3 linked regions of the Arabidopsis thaliana genome follow. The protein of the gene in region 1 interacts with the protein of each later gene in a pairwise test. Each region holds a gene or a part of one and is shown on either strand. Other genes may lie near its edges.

What was found.
Region 2: the proteins of TAF12 (region 1) and TAF4 interact in a two-hybrid assay, tested with the Arabidopsis thaliana proteins (one study listed by BioGRID).
Region 3: the proteins of TAF12 (region 1) and EER4 interact in a two-hybrid assay, tested with the Arabidopsis thaliana proteins (one study listed by BioGRID).

The regions. Positions count from the first base shown.
Region 1 is NC_003074.8:3,102,628-3,109,490, reverse strand, and holds TAF12 (TBP-associated factor 12), read left to right. Parts: upstream 1-2,664; 5' UTR 2,665-2,692; coding exon 2,693-3,268; intron 3,269-3,360; coding exon 3,361-3,519; intron 3,520-3,639; coding exon 3,640-4,137; intron 4,138-4,497; coding exon 4,498-4,572; intron 4,573-4,671; coding exon 4,672-4,750; intron 4,751-4,850; coding exon 4,851-4,915; intron 4,916-5,007; coding exon 5,008-5,043; intron 5,044-5,164; coding exon 5,165-5,296; 3' UTR 5,297-5,611; downstream 5,612-6,863. Other genes in the region: AT3G10090 (Nucleic acid-binding, OB-fold-like protein), read left to right, coding at 337-531; AT3G10080 (RmlC-like cupins superfamily protein), read left to right, coding at 1,119-2,015; AT3G10060 (FKBP-like peptidyl-prolyl cis-trans isomerase family protein), read right to left, coding at 5,690-5,717, 5,804-5,844, 5,920-5,997, 6,080-6,169, 6,249-6,323, 6,419-6,476, 6,602-6,657, 6,734-6,789.
Region 2 is NC_003076.8:17,314,315-17,323,838, reverse strand, and holds TAF4 (TBP-associated factor 4), read left to right. Parts: upstream 1-2,653; 5' UTR 2,654-2,694; coding exon 2,695-2,733; intron 2,734-2,833; coding exon 2,834-2,939; intron 2,940-3,709; coding exon 3,710-4,224; intron 4,225-4,309; coding exon 4,310-4,402; intron 4,403-5,271; coding exon 5,272-5,317; intron 5,318-5,456; coding exon 5,457-6,091; intron 6,092-6,340; coding exon 6,341-6,465; intron 6,466-6,630; coding exon 6,631-6,718; intron 6,719-6,804; coding exon 6,805-6,940; intron 6,941-7,032; coding exon 7,033-7,088; intron 7,089-7,169; coding exon 7,170-7,226; intron 7,227-7,303; coding exon 7,304-7,444; intron 7,445-7,523; coding exon 7,524-7,592; intron 7,593-7,674; coding exon 7,675-7,897; coding exon of another isoform or gene 7,898-7,965; exon of another isoform or gene 7,966-8,001; coding exon 8,002-8,231; 3' UTR 8,232-8,378; downstream 8,379-9,524. Other genes in the region: AT5G43140 (Peroxisomal membrane 22 kDa (Mpv17/PMP22) family protein), read right to left, coding at 615-695, 786-910, 1,032-1,260, 1,940-2,269; AT5G43120 (ARM-repeat/Tetratricopeptide repeat (TPR)-like protein), read right to left, coding at 9,336-9,418, 9,515-9,524.
Region 3 is NC_003070.9:5,982,978-5,990,828, reverse strand, and holds EER4 (Transcription initiation factor TFIID subunit A), read left to right. Parts: upstream 1-2,894; 5' UTR 2,895-3,165; coding exon 3,166-3,954; intron 3,955-4,169; coding exon 4,170-4,382; intron 4,383-4,860; coding exon 4,861-5,475; intron 5,476-5,563; coding exon 5,564-5,638; intron 5,639-5,734; coding exon 5,735-5,813; intron 5,814-5,912; coding exon 5,913-5,974; intron 5,975-6,113; coding exon 6,114-6,149; intron 6,150-6,239; coding exon 6,240-6,422; 3' UTR 6,423-6,476; exon of another isoform or gene 6,477-6,575; 3' UTR 6,576-6,845; downstream 6,846-7,851. Other genes in the region: AT1G17450 (B-block binding subunit of TFIIIC), read left to right, coding at 260-1,010, 1,106-1,164, 1,322-1,786, 1,879-1,917, 2,065-2,250; AT1G17430 (alpha/beta-Hydrolases superfamily protein), read right to left, coding at 6,910-7,021, 7,209-7,276, 7,582-7,674, 7,794-7,851.

The sequences.
Region 1 (6,863 bases):
TGAAACCTGATATATACAATCGTCTTCTAGCTTCTTAACTCATCAGGTGTTGCAAATTTGTAAGTGCTGTTTGGTTCTGCATTTTGCAATTGATCATTAATTGAGAAGTTGTTAAAAATCATTAGATGATGTGATCTTTAAGTTTTTTTGCTTTTACTGATTAGTGTTTTTGTAGTGTTTTCTCTGCTTTGTTTGCATCTGTTGTTCTCCAGAGCTGTGATTGGTTTATAAAGGTTATACAGTCTTGATTCAAATGTGAACAATTCTCTTTTTCTAAGGATTTTCACTTCTTTTGTAAAATTTGGTCTCTGAATGTTTTTGTTTTGTTGAATCAGAATGGATTCTCAGATCAAGCACGCTGTTGTAGTGAAAGTGATGGGAAGGACTGGATCAAGGGGTCAAGTGACTCAGGTTAGAGTGAAGTTCACTGACTCGGACCGTTACATCATGAGGAACGTTAAAGGACCTGTCAGAGAGGGAGATATTCTCACCTTGCTGGAGTCCGAGAGAGAAGCTAGAAGACTTCGTTGATTCTCTTTGCAAATTGTTTTTGGTTGCTTTGAAGAACAAATGTTATATCGTTTGGATAATTAAATTCTTATTATGATGTTAAAAAATTTAATTATCAAAGATTGATGCTTTAGACTCTAAATCTATAATATATTAAAAATCATTTCTTTATCTTCACTTTGTTTTTTTTTTTTTTTTTTTTTTTTTTTGAACTAATATCTTCACTTTGTTATATCAAAGAAATAAGTCATGTTTCACACTCTGCCTAAACCTTTACCACCGAAAAAATGATGTTCATGTGCCTCTCTAATCATGCCTTGGAGATAACAAAAAGCTTAAGCAACAAATTCATCATTTTGAATATCATGGCATGCGCACACAGCACGCCTTATACGGGCCCCTGCTTCAGCCCAAGACATAGATTTGGTTATGCCTATACCAAAATTACATTATAAACCGGGATTGACACTAGGATCCGAAACCTTGGACTCCAGTTATATTTCCATTTTTATGCACAATTGTATTAATTTGTAACTATGAATTACATAGACGAATAGTAAATTCATAAGAGATGTGTCAATCAAGCCACAAAAGGGGTTTATCAGTCAATGTACCGGCCTAACCACTCCCATAACCAAAACCACATATCCAAACGTGGTTTTTCATTTGGTACAAAAACCCACACCTTAATTTCACAGACGAAATTTTGGTTGATAAAAAGTAACCATCTTAACCAGTCTCTCATTTACCCCCACCAGATATACATATGCTTATTTAAACCGGATGTAACACAACTCTTCTTCACATGGACCTCAAGTAAAATGGAAGCAAACACTTTGTTTCTTCTAAAAGCTCTTTGTCTTCTTTGTTTTAATGTATGCTTCACATTAGCTTCCGACCCTGATCCCATCCAAGACTTCTGCATACCAAAACCTGTGACATCTCCTTACCATGACCATCACTTCTCCACCAATCTCCCTTGCAAAAACTCCTCCGAAGTAACCACCGAAGATTTTGTCTTTTCCGGTCTAAAAACTGCCGGAAACTTCACGGAGACGGGGTTCGCCACCGTCCCAGTAGGCCCAGAAAACTTCCCCGGCCTTAATACATTAGGCATCTCGTTTGTCCGGGCTGATCTCAAACCCGGATCCATTAACCCACCACATTACCATCCGCGGGCGACGGAAGTAGCCCACTTGGTTAAAGGACGGGTTTACTCTGGTTTTGTGGACTCGAACAATAAGGTTTACGCTAAAGTGATGGAAGAAGGAGAAATGATGGTTTACCCAAAAGGGCTTGTACATTTTCAGATGAACGTCGGAGATGTTACGGCCACGATTGTCGGCGGACTTAATAGCCAAAACCCTGGTATTCAGAAGATACCGTCCGTGGTTTTTGGGTCAGGGATCAATGAGGAGTTGCTTATGAAAGCTTTTGGGTTGAGTCTTAAGCAGATTGGTACGTTGAAGAAAAGATTTGATCCTGTCATGTCTAATGAACATTGATGTTTTCTCTTAAAGTCTTATCGAGATTATTACATCGAAGTTATCTTTTATGTGATGGTAGTTCTTGATCATAATGTTATTTATATATTTTGACCCAAACAATGGTCATCTTTAGCTAGACAATGTTTCTTTCTACATGAATTATTATCACTTATCCACACTTCACATTTAGAATCCTGAATTATTATCACTAAACCTACATAATTTTGGCAACGTCACAAGCTTTGAAAATTTGACAATATCTTCTCCAATCCACAAAATATATCAAAATCAATGCCAGTTCTTCTTTGCTATAAGGCTCTAAAGGCTGCAAACAAATCTCCAATTTGTCGTGACACTAGCTAATTTGATCGCTGTGTACTCTTGAGTATGTGAGAAAAAGACCAGAGACTTTGACACTAGTTAACTTGGAAGCTACATTTCCAGCAATAGAAGAAACTTGCTATCTGAGCATAATGAAACGCTGCGTTTTAACTCTCATTTATTCTTTGGGGTTAAACTCATCGTTTTAATCACACAACAGAGAAAAGGAATTGTTAAAGCCGGTCCGGTATTAATAATTATCGAGCTTTGCAGTTTCGGTTCACTTGTTTAATACCGTACCGACAATTTCGGTTTAATTAGATTTCTATATACTCAATCAATATCTCTATTCCCTCCACATTCACAACCTTTTCATGGATCAGCCACGGCAAAGCTCGACGGCGTCTCAGCCACCGGAAACACCTCCTCAGCCGTCGGATTCGAAACCATCGACTTTAACACAGATTCAACCAACGCCTTCCACAAATCCGAGTCCCTCCTCCGTTGTTTCCTCTATTCCCTCTTCCCCAGCTCCACAATCACCATCGCTCAATCCAAACCCTAATCCTCCTCAATACACGCGTCCGGTGACATCTCCGGCGACGCAACAGCAGCAACATCTCTCCCAGCCTTTAGTACGGCCGCCTCCGCAGGCGTACTCTAGACCATGGCAACAACACTCCTCTTACACTCACTTCTCCTCCGCTTCGTCGCCATTGTTATCTTCCTCATCAGCGCCAGCCTCTTCGTCTTCGTCTTTACCTATTAGTGGGCAACAAAGAGGTGGTATGGCGATTGGCGTTCCGGCTTCCCCAATTCCGAGTCCTTCTCCTACACCTTCTCAACATTCGCCTTCTGCTTTTCCCGGCTCTTTTGGGCAACAATACGGCGGATTAGGTCGTGGAACTGTTGGAATGTCAGAAGCTACGTCCAATACAAGTTCCCCTCAGGTGGATTTTGTTCTCTCATATGTGCCACATTTCAAAGAATTGTGCTCTGTTACAAAAAAAATACCAACTTTTTTCTGTATGTGTGTGTTCAGGTTAGAATGATGCAAGGAACTCAGGGAATTGGGATGATGGGAACACTTGGCTCAGGTTCCCAAATAAGGCCGAGTGGGATGACTCAGCACCAACAGAGACCAACTCAATCGTCTCTAAGGCCAGCTTCCTCCACAAGTACCCAATCTCCTGTTGCTCAAGTATGTATTTTTTACCCTTCTGGCCTCTGTATCTTGACATAGGAACTCCAGCTTTGTGACTCCTTTGTTAACAACAACTTTGTTTGCACACTTTAATTCCTTATATTTTACTTTTGGCAGAACTTTCAAGGACATAGCCTTATGAGACCTTCACCTATTAGCTCTCCTAATGTCCAATCTACTGGTGCATCACAACAAAGCTTGCAAGCTATCAATCAACCTTGGTTATCATCTACTCCCCAAGGGAAGCCGCCTTTGCCACCTCCTTCGTATAGACCACAAGTAAATTCTCCCTCTATGCAACAAAGACCTCATATTCCTCAGCAACATATTTCTACGTCAGCAGCAACTCCACAGCCTCAGCAACAACAATCTCAACAACAACATCAGCCTCAAGAGCAACTTCAACAATTGAGATCTCCGCAGCAGCCTTTAGCTCACCCACATCAACCAACCCGGGTCCAAGGTTTGGTAAATCAGAAAGTTACTTCTCCGGTAATGCCGAGCCAGCCTCCTGTGGCTCAACCAGGAAACCATGCTAAAACAGTTTCTGCAGAGACCGAGCCGTCTGATGATCGTATCCTGGGGAAACGAAGCATCCATGAGCTACTTCAACAGGTATCCACTGACCTCTCTTCATATTCTCAACTTTGGGTAGCCATTTTGCATATTGACCAGTATTCTCATTCTCACGCTTGATTCTTACTTAATGTGTGATTGATTTCTTCTACTTGGATAGATCTCTTACAGATAAAGGGGAATGTATTTGATAAAAATAAAATAGAAGAGATATTGAGTTATTTGCTAATAATACCTCCCATAGAAAGCCAAAAAGCATGTATGATGACTATTGACAGATTCAGTAATAACATATATCGATAGTTTTAGGGGCTACTTTGATGGTGTTCAACACTGAACTCTCTGCATGATATCCATTGATTTTTTTCTCTAAATTTAAAATGCCTTGTCTATCCACAGATTGACCCGTCAGAGAAATTGGATCCAGAGGTTGAAGACATCCTTTCTGATATTGCTGAAGATTTTGTGGAGTCAGTAAGTAGCCCACACCGCATTGGTTAAGAGTCAAACATTTCTGTCCTGTGATGAGTTTTTTTTTTCTAACTCCTGCTCGTTGTGTTTCCTTTAACCCAGATCACAACTTTTGGCTGTTCTTTAGCCAAGCATAGAAAGTCAGATATTCTAGAGGCTAAGGACATCTTGCTCCATGTTGGTTCGTTCTGATCAATATTATCTACCTGCCCGTTTTCTTTCAATTTCTCATTCCAATTACAATGAGTAATTTCTTTTTGGTATCTTCTCCTTAAATGTAGAAAGAAACTGGAATATTAGGCCTCCTGGTTTTAGCAGTGATGAGTTCAAGACATTTCGGAAGCCAGTAAGAATTAGAGATCTGCATTTTATCAATTCGTCTTATTTACAAAATAGTTCCTAACATCTTTGGTTGTTTCCTTGGATAATGTTTTGCAGTTGACAACAGATATTCACAAAGAGCGACTTGCGGCTGTAAGTTTTAACACATGATTTTAAACATCCTAATAGTATAGATTATGGTTCTGAGTAGAAGAGAAACTTATATATTGAAGATTTTCTTGTTGATTTTGTATATACATTGTGGATTTTGAAGATAAAGAAGTCGGTCACGGCAACAGAAGCAGCAAACGCCAGGAATCAGTTTGGGCATGGGACTGCTAATGCAAGAGGCGGTCAGGCAAAGACACCTTCTAATCCCATGGGCTCTACAACTTTCAATCACTGATGTATTAGATCAACCCTCCAATCGTGTTTGGTAGGAATTTTCCATTAAAAAGGTACGAAATTTGTATCACCCATTTTGTACCCTATCTAGATCTCACAGTCCAAGATAACTACAGGCATGGAGGCTAGGCTAGATCTTAATTTTAACCATTAGTAAAGTATCTTACCACCTCATGGGATTGAATTGATTCAATGTTTTGCAAAACGGCCAAAAGTGTATGAATTGAGTGATGAGACACAGTTATAAAGCGGTTACAAAACCGGACTAGCCGGTATAATCCATTAAACAGATTCTTCTCATACAGTTGAATCTTCCATAGCTTTGATCAATTTTATAGTTTTTTACTGAATGTACACAGAAAATCTTGGTACAATGTTGGCTTCATTAGTCCTTTTAGCCTTCAACTATCTTCACTGGCGTCCTGCAGAATAAAACCGAAAAGAAAGCTTTCAGGGCACTTTTTTCGATCAAATTTACCCAGTGTATTAGTTGATTGATTTCACATACCCGAAAGGACTCTGCTTGATTGATAACAGCTCAATGTCAAGCTGCAAAAGAAAGATAACATAAATGAACACCACTTTAGAAGCCAACAAAAATTTCAATCCATTCAACTTGGTTACCTCTATCGTAGCGTTTGGAGGAATCTCTTGCACTCCTTTCTTCCCGTAAGCCAGCTCGGGAGGAACAATCACCAATCTCTGTATATAAACCTCATAGGGTCATCAAAACAAGACTTTGAGTGGCCTGACTTTGTGAAGCCTTTCGGTTTCAAAAACTAACCTGACCGCCTACACGCATCCCTTCAACACCAAGATCAAGTCCTTTCAGAACATTGCCTCTCTCTGATTGACCAACGTCAAACCCATAAGGCTGCAAAAATTCATTATTATCAGTAAAGGATCCTTGCATATTCAAGTACAGTAATGGACTCTGTAAGATTGCCTTATACCGTTCCACCTCCAACACCAAGTCCTTGTCGACTTGTCATGAACGTTATCCCTTTCCATTTTGCAACATAGTGAACCTGCGACACAACATTTGGGTTAAGCATCAACGCTTGTTAAAACTGTTAGCATTTACATGTCCAAAGTAAACCAGGAAACGTATTCACAACCGTACTGCGACCCGAGATCCTTTCACAGCCTCTGCTCCATTGCCAACCTTTATATCATAGTACCTGCCACAATATAAACAGAAACCAAACTTGTGATTATTGCGAGAAAGACTTGATTTTTCAATCCTGTTTTGCGGTATGAGTACTGTATCGAATTCAAACAAAAGATGATGCATTGGATTACGGACTTGAGACCATTGGGGAGAGTCGTGAAATCGCTTTCCGGTAACTTGGATGCACGTAGCTGCAGAGAATTGTATGTAAGAGATTGAGTTTTGAGTCAAGAACACAATGTATGCATAGATATATATATTGCTTACAGCTCTTCTACTGGTGCTTACTGCCTCGGCTGAACCAGTTGACAAAATCCCAGAAGCTGTTTTGAATCAGATAACAACATTTTCTAAGGATTTTGATACACTGAGCTTAAGTGGAGATGTGAAGAACTAA
Region 2 (9,524 bases), on another chromosome or scaffold:
TTTTATTCATTTTTTGTGGAAGAAAATACGGAAGACCAAACAGTATCATTTTTTTTTCTGACGGCAAATATCTCGTGCCAATTGTTATTTTCTTAAAAGTATAGTAGGACAAAAGTGTAAGGGCAATTATATATACTTAGGACGATAAATAGTGTTTTATTTTGGCCACAATGTGACAATGGAAGAATGATGTTATATGATTCAAGGAGGCAATATGACCTAAAACGTGGCCTAAGTTTGGTTTCATTTGTGAATTATGTGGTTAACCTCATACTAGTTTTACCTACCCTAATTTATTTTTGGCATTAATTTAAATAAACAAAAATAAACCAAATTATTTTTTTAGTCAAAATGTTACAAGAAAGTAACAAAAAGTAAAAGAAGATGGTGAAGCAAGTTTTCGCAGTAAAACGCGATGGAACTTTGAGACTTCCTGATAAATATATGCTTAGATGATCAAAATTCATACATGTTTATGTCCATATCTATGCGATACTTTTGCTGCATTGTAGACACCAAAAAAACAAAAAAAATCTACTAGTACTGATGGTTGGTTCAATTGAATAAAAAGAATGCGATTGCGTGTGACCCAGAACACTCATACTTGTCATTGTTCAGCTGTCAGCTTTCGTCTGGTTTGCCATATATGTCAAATAGATTGTCCATATATATGCGCACGAGCTATTCATCAGTGGCTGCAACCAGAAGATTACAAGTTGAAGTTAAGAAGTGTCTTCAAACATCCCAAACAATAGAGAAAGTAATAAGATAGATATTTGGTTTACCTGTAGATGAACTGGCACATACTTGAATGTAACAAAATCACAGACCGGCCAATACATAAGTCCATTTTTCAATGTTGGCAGAAGATCTCTCTTCAATCTCGCCACAATTTCCTCAGAATTTTCGCCTTAAAAAGGACCAACAACGTGCCAGAACCAATCTCATAATGAGCACCATAAATTTACAGGCAGAGAAACCGTAAAAAGCTAAATCCGTTCAATCCATAGAGGTTTGATTATGTTATGTACCTTGTAAAGCAGCATTGTAGGAATAGAAGACTGTGTTGCTAACAGGTCCGAAAAGAACCTGCCCCATCATTATTTTCTTAAAGGTTGTCAACACGTCGCGCTTTGGCAATATCTTCGAAAGATAACTGAACCACAGATGCTGAGACGGCCCGAGAAATATCAACCCAAAGCTCGCCATTCTCGCTGTTCTTATCAAGTCAAAAGAACCAGTTGGCTCCATTGTGATCATCTGTTGAAGAATTTAGAGAGTCAACACAAATAAAACAAAACAAAAGGTTCTCTAGTTTCGCTCTAACATATTACTGGGGGAAGAGCACCACAACATGATCATAAAAAGACTCAAAAGAGAAATCCACTAATGACAAGAAGAAAAACAGAGTTTACAAGAACCCCAACACACACACCTAAAGCTTTTTTCACCTTAGCAATAAGTATTCACAAGAGATAATAACAAGAAGATTAGACTATTCGGATTGGAGTGTGAGTTTTCTGAGTAATCAAACCAATACTAAATTCATCCATTATTCAGTACAGAAAGACTTCAAATTCACAAGAGTACAATATACAGATTCAGTAAACACTGTAAGTACAGTCTCACACATCAAAGAACAACAGTTGAGAACACAGACTAAACCAAAAATATGAGAATAACAATTCATTAAAAAACACCAACTTTTAGTGCTATCTCCACCTATTCTTTACTAAAGTATTATAACTTCTTCCACTAGTAAGATTATGATCTAGTTTCAAATCAAATTTGGAATTGTCTTGGTATAATAACAAATGAAGATTAGTCTTTTCTTCCTAAATCAAGAGATAAAATTCAAAACTTTAACAAAATTCTCTAATTAGTAATGAAATGAGAAAGAACCCTAAATTCCAAAAACTACAAAGATTCAAAAAAAAACCTGAGAAGTGAGATCTGCAGCCATATAGATGACAGAAGTAGTGATACTCTTAGTCATAAAAGGATGTGATTCGAGCTTTCTCAAATACCATCGTAGAAACGCAGGTTGTTTCGAAGAAGAAGACGAAGCCTTCGTCGTTAGATTTCGCGACACGGAGAAAACACGAGGGATTACGAAATTCCCAGTTTTGCGTAGCTCGTGAATCGATCGGCCGGAGAATCCGAGAATCGGTTTCCGACCGGTGAACACTGTTTTCAAGAGAGCATTGTTGATCCCGTGAAGAGAGCGACGATCGGAGAAGAAACGTTTGCTCAATCCAACGATATTCATCTTCTTTTTTCGCCGATGCTTCGTTAATGGCGGCAGCTTACACTGTACTTTTGATGTATCTCTCTCTCTGTACCAGAACTTTTAGTCTCAATACACGCAAACAACAAACAGTGCTTAACCAAAACCAATAAACGACATAAAGTTTGATATATCTCTCCACGCAATAAAGCAAACGACAGCGTTTTTCGTATTCCATTAAACGTCATGCAGTTTTTAAAAGAACACCAATAAACAACATGAGGTTACTCATCCATAACAAACGGTATCGTTTTTTTTCGATCAAAATTAAAAACGACATACAGTGCTAAAACAAAGCTAATAAACGACATGAGGTTAGTTTAGGACTAATCTTATAACATCTGTTTCCTATTAATTCATCTACGCCGAGAGCTCTCTTTCTCTCTTTGCCTTCCCCAGCTATTTCAATGGATCCTTCAATTTTCAAGCTCCTTGAAGAAGATGAGGTTAGGTTTCTAATCTCACTCGTTTCAAAATCCAATTTTGTGTGATGTATCTGGAATCGTCTTCGTGGTTTTTGATTCCGGTCGAATTGTATTATTTTAGGATGAATCGATGCATTCAGGAGCTGACGTAGACGCGTTCCAAGCTGCTCTGAATCGTGATATTGAAGGTTCTATGACAACTTCAATACCCCACGTGACAAACCCAGGTTTGGTTTCTCTACAAATTCGCTCTTAAATTTTATGTCTGAGATTTTAATTTTTGTGGTACTATTAGTTAATATAAAGATAGTATCTTTTGGTTTTATCTTGGATTGGCTGCTTTGGGAAGCTTTGACATGTTAGCAAAGTTGTGCTTGTTTTTAATATATACAGTTTTCTCAGATAGGTTATTACTCTTGGAACATGGATAACTTAAGAAGATGCCTTGGTTAGGCTATATTGTAAACCTTGCTAATCTAGTGACATGTTTGGAAGTTTCAGTCCTGTATTAAAGCAATAGTTAAGGTCATGAAATATTAGTTTGTTAGGGTTTCTGTATGTTAATATCGGGATAAGCTTTGTCATTGCCAATATAGCCTGTACTAGTTGATTGTTGAGTCATTAAAATTGATCAGTGTGATGGGATTTATTAGCCAGGGTAGACATAGGTTGGTGATGCTGATACTATTTTAGTGTTAGGCTTTGTTCTTGGTTCACTGCAATCTTGACGATGATTACGTGTCTCCTTAAATCATTATTTTCTGTCTCTGGTGCTGGAAGTGATCTCTTTCCTCTGACTACACCATTAAATATTGAAATACAAATAGGTTGTGATTTGTGGATAGGTGTATGAGAGCTACTGAGTATGCATTTTGTGTGCATAATCTGCTACAACAAAATCCTGTCTTTTGTCCTTTTTTGGGTATTATATGATTTTTCCTCCAGTTTAACTTGTGATTTGAGTATCATCAACCAATTGCTTCTATTATTTTTATAGGAAACAACCATTCTTCCAGGCAGCAGTTTTCGACATGGAAGAATGGTATTGGAGATTCTAATATCAATGTCCAGACTCAGCATAGCCTTGAAAGTACTCAGATGAAGGAGCAAGAAGGATCGACTTTAGAAAATCAACATCAACATGATTTGAAACGCGCAAATGAACCTCATTTACAACACAACCAGCCTCAAGACCTTCATCGAGCTGGTCAACTCTGGGAGAATCCCTCGCAGGTCCCCCAATCAACTGGGTTACCGATTAGTGAAAAGAATCCTACTGGTAATGAATCAGATAGATCCCATAATCAAGAGAGTGAATCTCAGTATATGAAACTGCAAAAGATGAGTAGTCAACAGGCTCGGGGAGTGGAACCGCCTGTTAACCCTATGAATGTTAACCCTATAAACCGCAACCCTAAGCAAGTACCATTTGCTGCTTTGCTTCCTACTTTAATGAACCAACTCGATAAAGATAGAGCACTGCAGCTCCGTACCCTATATGCTAGACTTAAGGTATGTCTATCTGTGAAATCATTTGACATTCTGTTCCAAAGCTATTGTATTATCATTTCTTTCCTTCTGCTACTTTTTTTTGCAGAAAAATGAAATCCCCAAAGAGGGGTTCACACGACATATGAAAGATATTGTGGGCGATCAGATGCTCAGGATGGCAGTTAGTAAACTCCAGCAGGTATTACCATTTTGCATATATTGTGCCATGTTGTGACTAAAACCAGACAACCAACCTAGGGTATTAGTTTGTAAGTGGAATCATGTTGGAATTGTTTGTCTAAAAGTTCTGCTTGCTAGTGCTTTACATTTTTACTCTTTTTTTACATTTGCTCTTTGAATTTAGCTGGATCAAAAGACTATTGTTTTTTATTAGCTTGAATGCACATAGAATGGTCTGACATGAAGTAGAACTGTTGATAAGTCAAATGATGTTTAGAATATATATTTTAGCTTCATAAATTAGATACAACATATTGAATTAGGGAAAAACTCTTTATTTTCCTCTATTTTGATCACTACCAAAAAGTCGAGATTTACTTTCTTACAGAATACCAATCTTAGCAGATTATTATTCCTTTCCAAAGGTTATCAGACTTATGCCTGGGATGATCTAATCATATGAGTTTACTGACTTGCGTTTGTCCCACATTTACATGTTAAAACGGTGCTAAATTTATACGTCCAGCGTTTGTGGTCAATGTCTGCAGAGTAGGACTAGTTCAAGTACACCAACTGATACGATTTAATCTTATTTCCCATTATAATTATAATAAGATACGAAAAGTTTAGTCCAATTCTAATTAGAATTTCTATTTTCTTTCCCTTTTTCGTTTGGGAGTTATCTTTTCCTATATATAAGGTTGAAGCTCTTTATCTTTGTCCGAGGGAACCAAAGTTATTCTCTTTGTTCTGTTTTCTACTATTTTAATGAAGGTTTTGCTTTTTGAACTGGGTTCTTAATTCCAACTAAAATTGTGCTAACCGTTGAAGCATTTGAAATTGGGTATAGATTCTTATTTATTTGTAATTTGTGCTCATTGTTTTCAGGTGAACTATAACCAGGGAAAAATTGGAATTCAAGCTCCTTCTACTGGTATAAATTATTCACTAATGCATTCTTTTTTATTTTTCTTTCACCATTATCATAAAAGCTTCTATACTCTCCATAGATATATCTTATTACTTCCATGCAGGAGCCAATATCTTACCTGATTAAATCTATTCATTCGCAGAAATCAATAATCAAAAATCTCAGTCTGATCCTCGTGCAGTCCATCTTAACCAACTACCGTCCTCAGCTTCAGGCACCTTAGGCAGTTCAGTTCCGGTACAGGGACTTACCAAACATCCGCAGCACCAGATGCAGCATCCACCAAGTTCTTTTCCTATGTATACCACTTCTGGTAGTTTTCATTCATTCCCGGGTCCAAACACCAATGCTTCTGGTTCCACGTTGAGACCTCACCTTCATGATTCCCATATGAGACATGTGGCACATAACCAGCCTATGGGATCAACTGGTCTTGGAGGACCGCCCCAGTCTACCACAAACATGATGACTATGCCCAAGTTTGAGAGGCCAAGTTCTGTAAATGATCCGAGTAGGGTTCAGGGTGGCGCTACATCGCACTTCCAGAACAGCTCATCATTGCCTCTAAATTCTGCACCTGGTCAAGGATCATCAGTGTCCCACGTAAAGCAGGAATCAGTTGATCAAAGTTTTGAAAAGAATAATGCAGCCTCAATGACTTCGAATGAGGACTTAGAGAAGGAGTCCTCTAGAATGGTTTTATCCACGCCTAACAACATGGCGCCTGCAAGCTCTGTTTCTCCTTCCATGACAACTCAACTAGACGCCAGCACAACTGTAAGAGATCTATTAATATATAGTTTTCTCATTATAAAAGTCAGTCTCCACTGTTCTTGTTTGCCTCTTCTCTTTGAGCTGCTGGGGCAACTATGGCGCTTCAAAAGCCCTTGCATATTTTCCGTGTTATGTCCGACAACCTGGACATCTATTGTTTTTCCTTGTTTTGGGTTTTATAATTTCTACTATAAACAGTAAATAGGAAAAGTTTCAATTGGACATCATTAACATTGTTTGTGTATCCATCAGATGAATTCTCGTGGCCCATTGGGAACCTCTCAAGGAGGAGCTAATGCTAGGATGCCACCCAAAAAGCCTTCTGTTGGTCAGAAAAAACCTCTTGAGACATTAGGTTCTTCACCTCCACCACCAAGGTAATTGATCTGCTCAGGCTTAGAAACAGGGAACAGTTTTTTAAGTCACTCTTTCTTCGTTAATAATAGACTTCTGATGTATGGATTTTTAAGTGTAAACCACTTTTCTTTTCGAGTCCCCAAGTAATATAAAATCATAATCGTTTTGCATGGATCAACTTGCAGCAAGAAGCAAAAAGTAGCAGGGAATTCTATGGATCAAAGTATTGAACAGCTCAATGATGTCACTGCAGTCAGTGGTGTTAATCTCAGGGTGCGTTTCCTGGTAGCTTCAGTTTTCAATTTTAATCTGGATGTAGATTACTGAAGTAAATCATTTTTTGTCTGCATTTGATTTAGGAAGAGGAAGAACAATTATTTTCTGGGGCCAAGGAAGATGGTCGTGTTTCCGAAGCATCTCGGAGAGTTGTGCACGAAGAAGAAGAAAGATTAATCTTGCAGAAGAATCCTCTGCAAAGAAAGCTGGCGGAAATTAGTTGGGATACTTCCCATATCTTCTTCTATTTTAATTTCTAGTTATTGAATCACTTGGAGACGAAGCTTACATATGCTTTTCTTATCTGGCAGTGGCTAAAGCCGGGTTAAAGCAGATAAGCAATGATGTCGAACGGTGCTTATCTTTGGTGAGATGTCAACTTCGTGTGCATTGTTTGCATACAATACTTGAGCTTCTTTTTCCCCTTTTCTCATGTATTTGCTTTCAGTGTGTGGAGGAAAGGATGCGAGGACTATTATCCCATATAATTCGGTTGTCAAAGCAGGTCAGTCTAACTTTCTCTTACTACCTGGTTCAACATTGTTTGATAAATTCTGTCTGAAGCTAAAAATGCTTCTTCAGCGGGTTGATGCTGAGAAATCTAGGCACCGGACTTTTATCACATCAGATATTCGGCTACAAATCAACGAAATGAATCAGAAGGTGAAGGAAGAATGGGAGAAGAAACAGGCTGAAGCAGAAAAGCTTAAGAAACCGAGTGAGGTCTGTTCTGAGCTCATTATCTATGTTCTTATGTTTACTACAACACACAGACATTGCAAATTTCATCTTTTTGCTGCAGAGTGAAGAAGGTGATGGTGGAGTTGACAGTGAGAAGGATAAAGAAGATAATCGTTCAAAGGGTGTGAAGGTATGGAGAAATTAATAATACATTTGTGGAAATTAATAATACCGTTGCAGTGTTCTTACAAAAGTGGTTTCGACATGTGAAGGGAAATAAAGAGGATGACGACAAAATGAGAACGACAGCTGCAAATGTTGCTGCTCGTGCTGCTGTCGGAGGAGATGATGCGTTCTTAAAATGGCAATTAATGGCTGAAGCTCGTCAGAAATCTGTATCTGAAGCTGGTAAAGATGGGAATCAGAAAACTACTTCAGGTGGAGGAAAGAACTCCAAAGATAGACAAGATGGTGGACGACGGTTTTCTGGTACTGGTGAGTCCATCCTTTTTAACTTGTTTCCCCTAGCAAAGCCGATGAACAAACCGATAAACCCTCCTTGAAAGCATGAAATGCTGCTAGTGTTAGGAAATGCTAAGAATCTAGCTGTGGTGTGGGGATTGTCTATCGAGTTAGTTCCTCACGGTTTTGGTTTGCGATGATGAGCTTTGGATTCTTGTTTGCAGGTGGTCGAAGAGTAGGGAAAAACCAAGGTTCGTCGCTTCAACCGAAAGTGGTGAGGACAATCTCTGTGAAGGATGTGGTTGCGGTCCTCGAAAGAGAGCCACAGATGTCCAAATCCACTCTGATGTATCGATTAATTCAATAGAAAGAAGAATCATTATATTTATAAGCTTCTGATGATAATTTAATCGTCAAGGCCCCAAGTCATTTATTTTTATACCATTGTGATTTGTTTCTGTTATGTTCATTGTTTTTTCATGGCCATTTCAACTCAAACGTCAATTTACAACACATCTTCTAGTGACTCATATCTCAATACTTTGCATCCAATGCAAAATTGAAAGACAAAAGTACTCTTTGTTAAATCATATACAGTATGTATCACACCGTCTAGTTAGCGACTGGACCCATCAAATAAATAATCACAAATTATTAATATGGTTGCTATAACTTCATTACTCTTATTGATATTTCTTGTAAATAGATGATAAAAATATTGTGTTTAGTCCAAATAATACACGCAAACTCGAGAAATTTGTCTACACTAAACCATATTATTCAAGTAAAAGAATGAGTAAAGATCACGCGGAACTTAATTGTGGTTTTGTGGTCCTCCCCACCTTCTGTGACTCGCACCTCTATCCCATTTACTACTTCGCATAAAATACTCGTTTTCACTCTATTCAATGCCAAGAAAACAACGTTGTAACTACTAAGAACCCATAAATATACTGAAAACACGAATTTCAATTATGTTTTTAGTGTTTCATCGTGTAACTTTTTCATAATATTTAAGGATTCGATCTTATCTATATATAGACAATACACTTCAAATTCTAAGGATAGACTAGAAGAAAACTCAATAAGGAAAAGTTTCATACTAATATTAGATGGAAAACAATTAAGAAAATAATAATAATACTATGCTTATGGTTATGATTTTGGTAGATGAAGTCGTAAAGAATATAAAAAAAAAGAACAACATTGGAGAAAATTGTCTTTAAATTACTAGGGTTTGTTTTTAGTAAATATGTGGATGAGTAAATACAATCTTAATGCAACCATTTTATAAACTAAAGAACGATATAAATAAGAATTCTAGTAGTACTAGTACATAGTGATTAGTACAACACTTAAACTCTTTGACAAATCGATACTAATCCATCACAAAAGTACCAAACATTCTAATAGAAAACGAAAAGAAAAAACTAATGAGATAGAATAATTAAAATCGCTTCATAGATATTGATCACTCCAAGGGATCAAGATTCTTCCTTTGCATCATCAATCCTTCCTTCTTCTTCTCGGGTTCTTCTGTGATCGTCGACAAACCTTGCCAGAGAGATAAACAATGTAATATGAAATTGTTTTATCTAGAAAAGATTCAAGAACTTATATTCATACATATATATAAGAAAATGAATATACCTGTTAAGTG
Region 3 (7,851 bases), on another chromosome or scaffold:
GAAAATAGCATAGCATAGCATGTTTAACTTTAAAGGATCATCTTTTCTTCCTTTTTTTGGTTCGATGTTGCTGTCAAAACCACATAATGTGCAGGCTTGATGTTTGGATGAGATGGTGAATAAGAAACAGTTTTCTACATTTCTTCACGTCACTTTATTATTTTATTTTCAATCAAGTTTATTTGCTTGTATAGATAAACTTAATGATTGTATTTGTCAAAGAAAACTGAAAAGTCATTGAATTATGGGAACGTTCCAGGTTGGTGGAAGTGGTGGACAGCCATTTGTGCTTTCTCAAAACTTCTTGCACAGTATTTCAAAGTCTCCATTCCCAGTTAATACTGGGACAAGAGCAGCCAAGTTCTCCAGTTGGCTTTTCGAACATGAAAGAGACCTTATGGCTGGGGGTGTCACTCTTACTTCGGATTTGCAATGTGGTGATATTTTAAATTTCTTTTCATTGGTTTCTTCTGGTGAACTCTCTATATCTGTATCCTTGCCTGAAGAAGGTGTTGGAGAGCCTGGAGATCGAAGAGGTTTGAAACGTAGAGCTGATGACATAGAAGAATCTGAAGCTGAGAGTTCTAAGAAATTGAAGCTACTAGGCGAAGGTGAAATCAACTTCCGAAAGGAAAAGGGTTTCCCTGGTATAGCAGTATCTGTTCGTCGTGCAACTATACCAACAGCTAATGCAATAGAGTTGTTTAAGGATGATGACTCTCGCACTGGTGAATTTCATTTGAAGTGGGGAGAAGCGAATAGTGGCTGTGATTCTGATGACATGAAAGAACTTTTCAACTCTACAGATTCTACTGTCATACCAAGCAGTCTAGGTGATTCTCCCTGGCAAGCGATGGCCAGTTTTACTAGTAGCATTATGTCCGAATCAACAGATGAGGAAGTTAGTTTATTCAGTCCCAGGGTTTTTGAAACCGTTTCCAATGCCCTTCAGAAGGCTGGTGACCAAGGTCTGAGCATTGAAGAAGTCCACAGTCTTATTGATATCCCAAGTAAGCATCAGGCAAACCTTTTTAACAGGCTTTTATTTTTGCATGTGCTGGCGACTTCCTTCAGTGTTTTTATTTAACCTTTGTGTATTCATCAGGCCAAGAAACTTGTGACTGCATTGTAGATGTACTTCAAACATTTGGGGTAGCTTTGAAGGTTTGTCTGATTATCTCTTATTTTACAAACCCTGTTGCCTTTATTAAGATGAAAGTTGCAGTGCTTGGTTTACTAGTTTTACTTACCTGGATTGTGAACTCAGTTCATGTTACATCGTTTTACAAGCAACTTGTTAACCATACAATATCTTATTCAGGTAAATGGCTATAATAATTTCCGTGTTGTCCATTCCTTCTACCGATCAAAGTACTTCTTGACATTGGAGGAAGATGGAACTTCCCAAAAAAGTCAACAGTCTCTACCAGTGAACTACCTAGAGAGAGCTGTTGGGGAACATAGGTCCAAAGATATCATTGCTAGCAGCTACAGTACTTCACAGGACATGCGAGAGCATGTCGCTGGGAATAGCGTTCACAAGGTTACAATTCTTAACCTTCCTGAAACGGCTCAAACGAGCGGTTTGCATGAAGCATCTATCAAAGCTCCATCTGTTACTTTTGGAACGGGTATTGAAGGTGAAACAAAGGAATCAACTTCTGAAAAGTCACCTGTGCCTATATATCCATGGGTAAACGCAGATGGGTCAATAAATAAAATTGTCTTTGATGGACTAGTTCGCCGTGTTCTTGGTACCGTGATGCAAAATCCCGGTATACCAGAGGTAAATACTTCTCCATTTTCCACCCAATAAGTTTTTGCCATCATGGTTTCGAACTCTATGAAAATACTAATCGAAACATTCATTTGTGGCAGGACGAGATAATAAACCTAATGGACATACTAAATCCTCAGGTAATAACAATCATAAACCCTAAAAACCTCTTCTCCTATGGTTTCATTTACTGAAACTGATCAAAACTTCTTAAAGCTCTTTGTCTGTTGTCTCTATATACGGTGGTTGCTCTCTGATAACATTCTGTAAAAAAATTTCAATATCAGAGCTGTAGAAAGCTTCTGGAGTTGATGACACTCGACGGCTATATGAAAGTGAGGGAAATGGTGCAAACCAAATTCACCGGTCCTCCGTCTCTGTTAGCCGGTCTCGTCTCAACAGGTCCTAGAAAACCGGAACTTATTCGCCGCAAACACTTGTTTGCAAACTCCAAGGGACTCTTTGCCTTGTAATGTCTGTAAAATCTCTCTCAGTCTCTCTAGTTCAGTCCAAAACTCGATGCAATAAATTATTAATGTTTATGTGGGAAATTATTATAGTTTTGTGATTTAAAGTCCACAAGATCTTGTATTTGTATAGCTGTAGGTGTGATGATTAATTCTCTTTATAGATTCATAGTGTTGGATTCATATCCCTATTATAGGTGAGTTTTGGAAGGTTTTATTCAGTTAAAAAGAGAGCTTATTTTTTATTCAACTAAAAGGTCTCCTACAAGTTACAAGTTATAACTAAATAAAGATTTCTATTTAATTTGTAGACGGAAAAATCTCCAAATAAGAATGAATTAAATGATCAACAGGATGTTGTTTCCATCTAGTTAGTGTAGTTTACTTAGTTAATCAATAAAGGTTTGAATCATACAGAATCAAGAGGCAGAAAAAACATTGTGCTGAATAAATTTAAAAACATAATTCTGAAACACCAAAAACGTGAAAATAGTGCACACTAGTTTCATCACCTGAGTAACGAAACAGTTTGACTTTTTGTTGACGTATTTGATGTAATAAATGGTGAAGAGAAAAAAATGTAAAATATTGATTGCATTGGTCTATGAGATAATCCTACAAAAAGTGTTAGAGCAGTTGTGCGAGAGTCTGGAATAATGAAACACAGTTCAGTACAAGTATCTTTTCGATCATCTTCCGCTAAATCTACTGACGTGTACGGCTCAGATTCTTTTTTCCCCAGAACTGATTCAACAAACAAAACAAAAAAAATAGAAGACCATATTTTATCGGTCAATAAACTTCTGGGAAAAAAATAAAACACGATTTCATGAGAGAAAATCGACAAAACCCCTCTCAACCAAATAATACACCTTCTTCTTCTTCTTCTTCTTCTTCTTCTTCACAGCTGGGTTTCTTCTAATGGCGGAACCGATTCCCTCATCGTCTCTGTCACCGAAATCTCTACAATCTCCTAATCCTATGGAACCTTCTCCTGCATCTTCTACTCCTTTACCTTCATCATCATCTCAACAACAACAACTCATGACAGCTCCGATTTCCAATTCTGTTAATTCCGCTGCGTCTCCGGCGATGACTGTAACTACCACCGAAGGTATTGTAATTCAGAACAATTCGCAACCTAACATCTCCTCTCCCAACCCTACTTCTTCTAACCCACCAATCGGAGCTCAGATCCCGTCGCCTTCTCCTCTCTCTCACCCTTCTTCATCTTTAGATCAGCAAACACAGACTCAGCAACTCGTTCAACAAACTCAGCAATTGCCTCAACAACAACAACAGATTATGCAGCAAATCTCTTCATCTCCGATTCCACAATTATCGCCGCAACAGCAACAGATTCTGCAGCAACAACACATGACTTCACAGCAAATCCCAATGTCGAGTTACCAAATTGCTCAATCTCTTCAGCGATCCCCTTCTCTTTCTCGCCTGAGCCAAATTCAGCAACAACAGCAGCAGCAGCATCAAGGTCAATACGGCAACGTGTTGAGACAGCAAGCTGGTTTGTACGGAACCATGAACTTTGGTGGCTCAGGTTCAGTTCAACAGAGCCAGCAGAATCAGCAGATGGTTAACCCTAATATGTCCAGAGCAGGTTTAGTTGGCCAAAGCGGTCACTTGCCTATGCTTAACGGTGCTGCTGGAGCTGCTCAGATGAATATTCAACCCCAATTATTGGCTGCTTCGGTACCCCATTCTTTACTTTTACTCTCTTTCCCTTTGTTGATTCATATCTTTCTTTTTGTGGATGGAGTCTCAACTTGTAGTATTGCTTTAGATGGAGATAGTGTTGCAATTGTTTTTGTTGATATGAATATAGTAAACTCTGCAGTTTCTTCTATTATTGTGTGAACAACAAATCATTTTCTTTATTCTGAGACAAATGAGCTTTTCCGTTGTAGCCGAGGCAGAAATCTGGCATGGTTCAAGGTTCGCAGTTTCATCCGGGAAGTTCTGGACAACAGTTACAAGGGATGCAAGCTATGGGAATGATGGGATCACTGAATTTGACCTCGCAAATGAGAGGTAACCCTGCTCTCTATGCGCAGCAGAGAATCAACCCGGGGCAGATGAGACAGCAATTGTCACAGCAAAACGCTCTTACTTCACCTCAGGTATGAGTTTTAAAAAGTCGTATCTTACGAACTTCTTTCTCTCACATTGTGAACTTTTTTATTGACTACTTGTTATATCTTATGGCTCATAGATACAAATGAATTCTCGTGTTGGATCCTTTCACTTCTTTTGACTTATTGTTGCACAGTCTTAATTAAACTGATCCATGAGGTTTTGGTACTTTAATCAATCACTTAATATTGACTTGCAGAGTTTTTCCAATATCTGTAATTGGCAACTAAAATACCTGAATGACGCGGGAATGATCCTTAAATTTGACAGATTTACCGTGTAATTGTAAAATCTGGCCTATGTATCTATAGAGGTACTAATACATTTATGTTGTGCAATATGCAAATTCCTGATCATTTTGTGAGCATGTGTTTCTTTCGTTTCAAGTTAAAAAATAGAGTTGCGTCGAATCTCATGTATCCTGTATCCTCTTCACTTGGTAACTTTTTGTAATCCCCTGTGTAGGTCCAGAACCTCCAGAGAACATCTTCTCTCGCATTTATGAATCCTCAGCTATCGGGTTTGGCCCAGAATGGACAAGCTGGCATGATGCAAAACTCTTTGTCACAGCAGCAATGGCTGAAGCAAATGTCGGGAATAACGAGCCCCAATTCATTCCGACTCCAACCGAGTCAAAGACAGGCTCTTCTCTTACAGCAGCAGCAGCAGCAACAACAACAACTGTCCTCTCCTCAGTTACATCAATCTTCTATGTCCTTGAATCAGCAGCAGATATCACAGATAATACAACAGCAGCAGCAACAATCACAATTAGGCCAGTCGCAGATGAACCAATCCCATTCCCAACAACAACTACAACAGATGCAGCAGCAACTACAGCAGCAACCACAACAGCAGATGCAGCAGCAGCAGCAACAACAACAGCAAATGCAGATTAATCAACAACAGCCATCTCCAAGGATGTTGAGTCATGCAGGACAAAAATCTGTCAGTTTAACGGGTTCACAACCAGAGGCTACACAATCGGGTACAACAACACCAGGTGGTAGCTCAAGCCAGGGAACAGAAGCAACAAACCAACTCCTTGGTAAAAGGAAGATACAGGATCTGGTTTCGCAGGTGATTTTCCCTCTTCAACTCTATAGCTTGTTTCTATCTTCTTCTTCCTTTAGAAATATGTTTCATTCTATTGTATCATGATGTTCAGGTGGATGTACATGCGAAACTGGATCCTGATGTTGAAGACCTCCTTTTGGAGGTGGCAGATGACTTCATTGATTCGGTTAGAAGCTAATATCAATTATTTAGTATTAACTTCAGCTTTTTTATTTACAGATTTGTGAAAACCTATCTCTATCTTACCTAAACTTCATTGCAGGTCACATCTTTTGCATGTAGCTTGGCTAAGCATCGTAAATCATCTGTATTGGAGCCCAAGGATATATTACTCCACCTAGGTCTGTACTTAATTTGGTGATGAGCTCTGTTCAATGTGAATTCTAAGTAGTTGCTATTGTTACTCATTTTACTGTTTGCTGAGTTATAATTTTTTGCAGAGAAAAACTTGCACTTGACAATTCCTGGATTCTCAAGTGAGGATAAACGTCAAACAAAAACTGTAAGTGATTTTCTTTTTAAAACTCTTTAAAAGCACAAAAAGTATATGTGAATGTGCATCACCACCTGAATGTCCAATAAAAGAAAAAGAGAAAGAACATGAGTTTGCTAGATATTGATCCCAAGTTAACAACTTGCAGGTACCAACTGATCTCCACAAGAAGCGACTTGCAATGGTAAGCTGAATGATATTCCAAACATCTCTTTGTGTACAGTCGTGCTTATGGACCTCTCTCTGAAGTTTCTTTTTTGTGTTGTGTCGCCAGGTGCGTGCATTACTAGAATCCTCAAAACCAGAGACGAATGCAAGCAATTCCAAGGAAACTATGAGACAAGCGATGGTGAACCCAAATGGTCCGAATCATCTCTTAAGACCCTCCCAAAGTTCAGAACAATTGGTTTCGCAGACATCCGGTCCTCACATATTACAACACATGACACGATACTAAAGGACTTGAATATAGAAGCCTGAGCCAGCTCTCACTGCTATGTTCATCTTCTTGGTAAACACTTTTATCATACACAAACACCACTTACATAAATAAGAAAACCTCGGGTATTTATGGCTGGCTATATATAGTCCTCAACTTTTCCTATTATAGGTTGCAGGAGTTTACACATCTATGGAGAGTTGAAGGCACAAGTAGTGAAACTGTATGTATTATATATAAAATTCATGAGTCTTATAGGCAATCAAATAATACAGTTATTTTTTTCGTAGTTGTGGGACTTTCTAACTATTTCGTCTTCTTTTTTAGTGGGTTTTTGTTTTTTCCTTTTGTAATTTTAGTTGTCCTCTCCATTTTAAGCTTGAAAGTTTTAGCTCTTTGATGACTCAGCAGTTGATGATATGTTAAATGATGTCAACTATATATACACTTAAATCAAATGCATATAGATATTTATATGAAGAAGAAGTATATACAAAAATAGAAATCAAGCACTTAAGACAAACGAAGTAATAAAATTATTAAGAGTAGTTGGTGCTTCAATGTTAACAGCGTGTCCTGTTTCCTTTATTATCTCTAATCTTGAACTCTGTAAATGCCTGCAAAAGTATATAATTTTTATTAGTTTCGACATATTGGATTCACGATCAATAATCACATGCGTTCACGTTCGATGTTTCATCTCTTTTGACCTAGTAGAAATATTAAATATTTTATACGGATGTAGTTATTATGACAACACTTGTTATGGGACTTATTACCATAAAATATCAATGTAGTATTTACCTTTGCAGCCGATAAGCATGCTCCAAGGGAAACACCTTGTCCTTGTCTCCCCAAACGATTAACGTTTTCTGCATCATATATATCAAATTAATCAGAGTCATATTTTATTCGTAGATTCGAATAAAGCATCTCAATCCATAGCATCCCTCTAGAAATAATATAAAAGTGAAAGCAAACAAACGAGAATAGTGTTTCCACTATCCAAAAGATGAATACTTAAAACCCATAAAAACAATCCAAAACATCAATTAGTTCTCTATCAGCGACACATTAATCATCACGCCAACTTATTAATATATATCTTGATGCTTAGAGTTAAACCATTAGTGATCAGGAATTAAAAAAAGGTTAACTCAACGAAATTTTATACTACCTGGGATATTACAGGCAATTCTGGTTCCTCCTCTCGTTCCAACAAATTCTTAGCTAGCTCAAGAAGCTCCTGCCGATTTTTCTCATACATTACCTATAAGAAGAGGATGAATTTTGCAAATTCCAAACCTTTAGGATCATGACTAACGAACAAACAATTTACGGGACCAGATTCGGAAATAAACAGATAAAACAGAAACAGAACAAACTTACAGCGATGAATTGGGAAAGGAAAAAGTCTGGAACCCAATCGACGAACGTTAAACCAGTA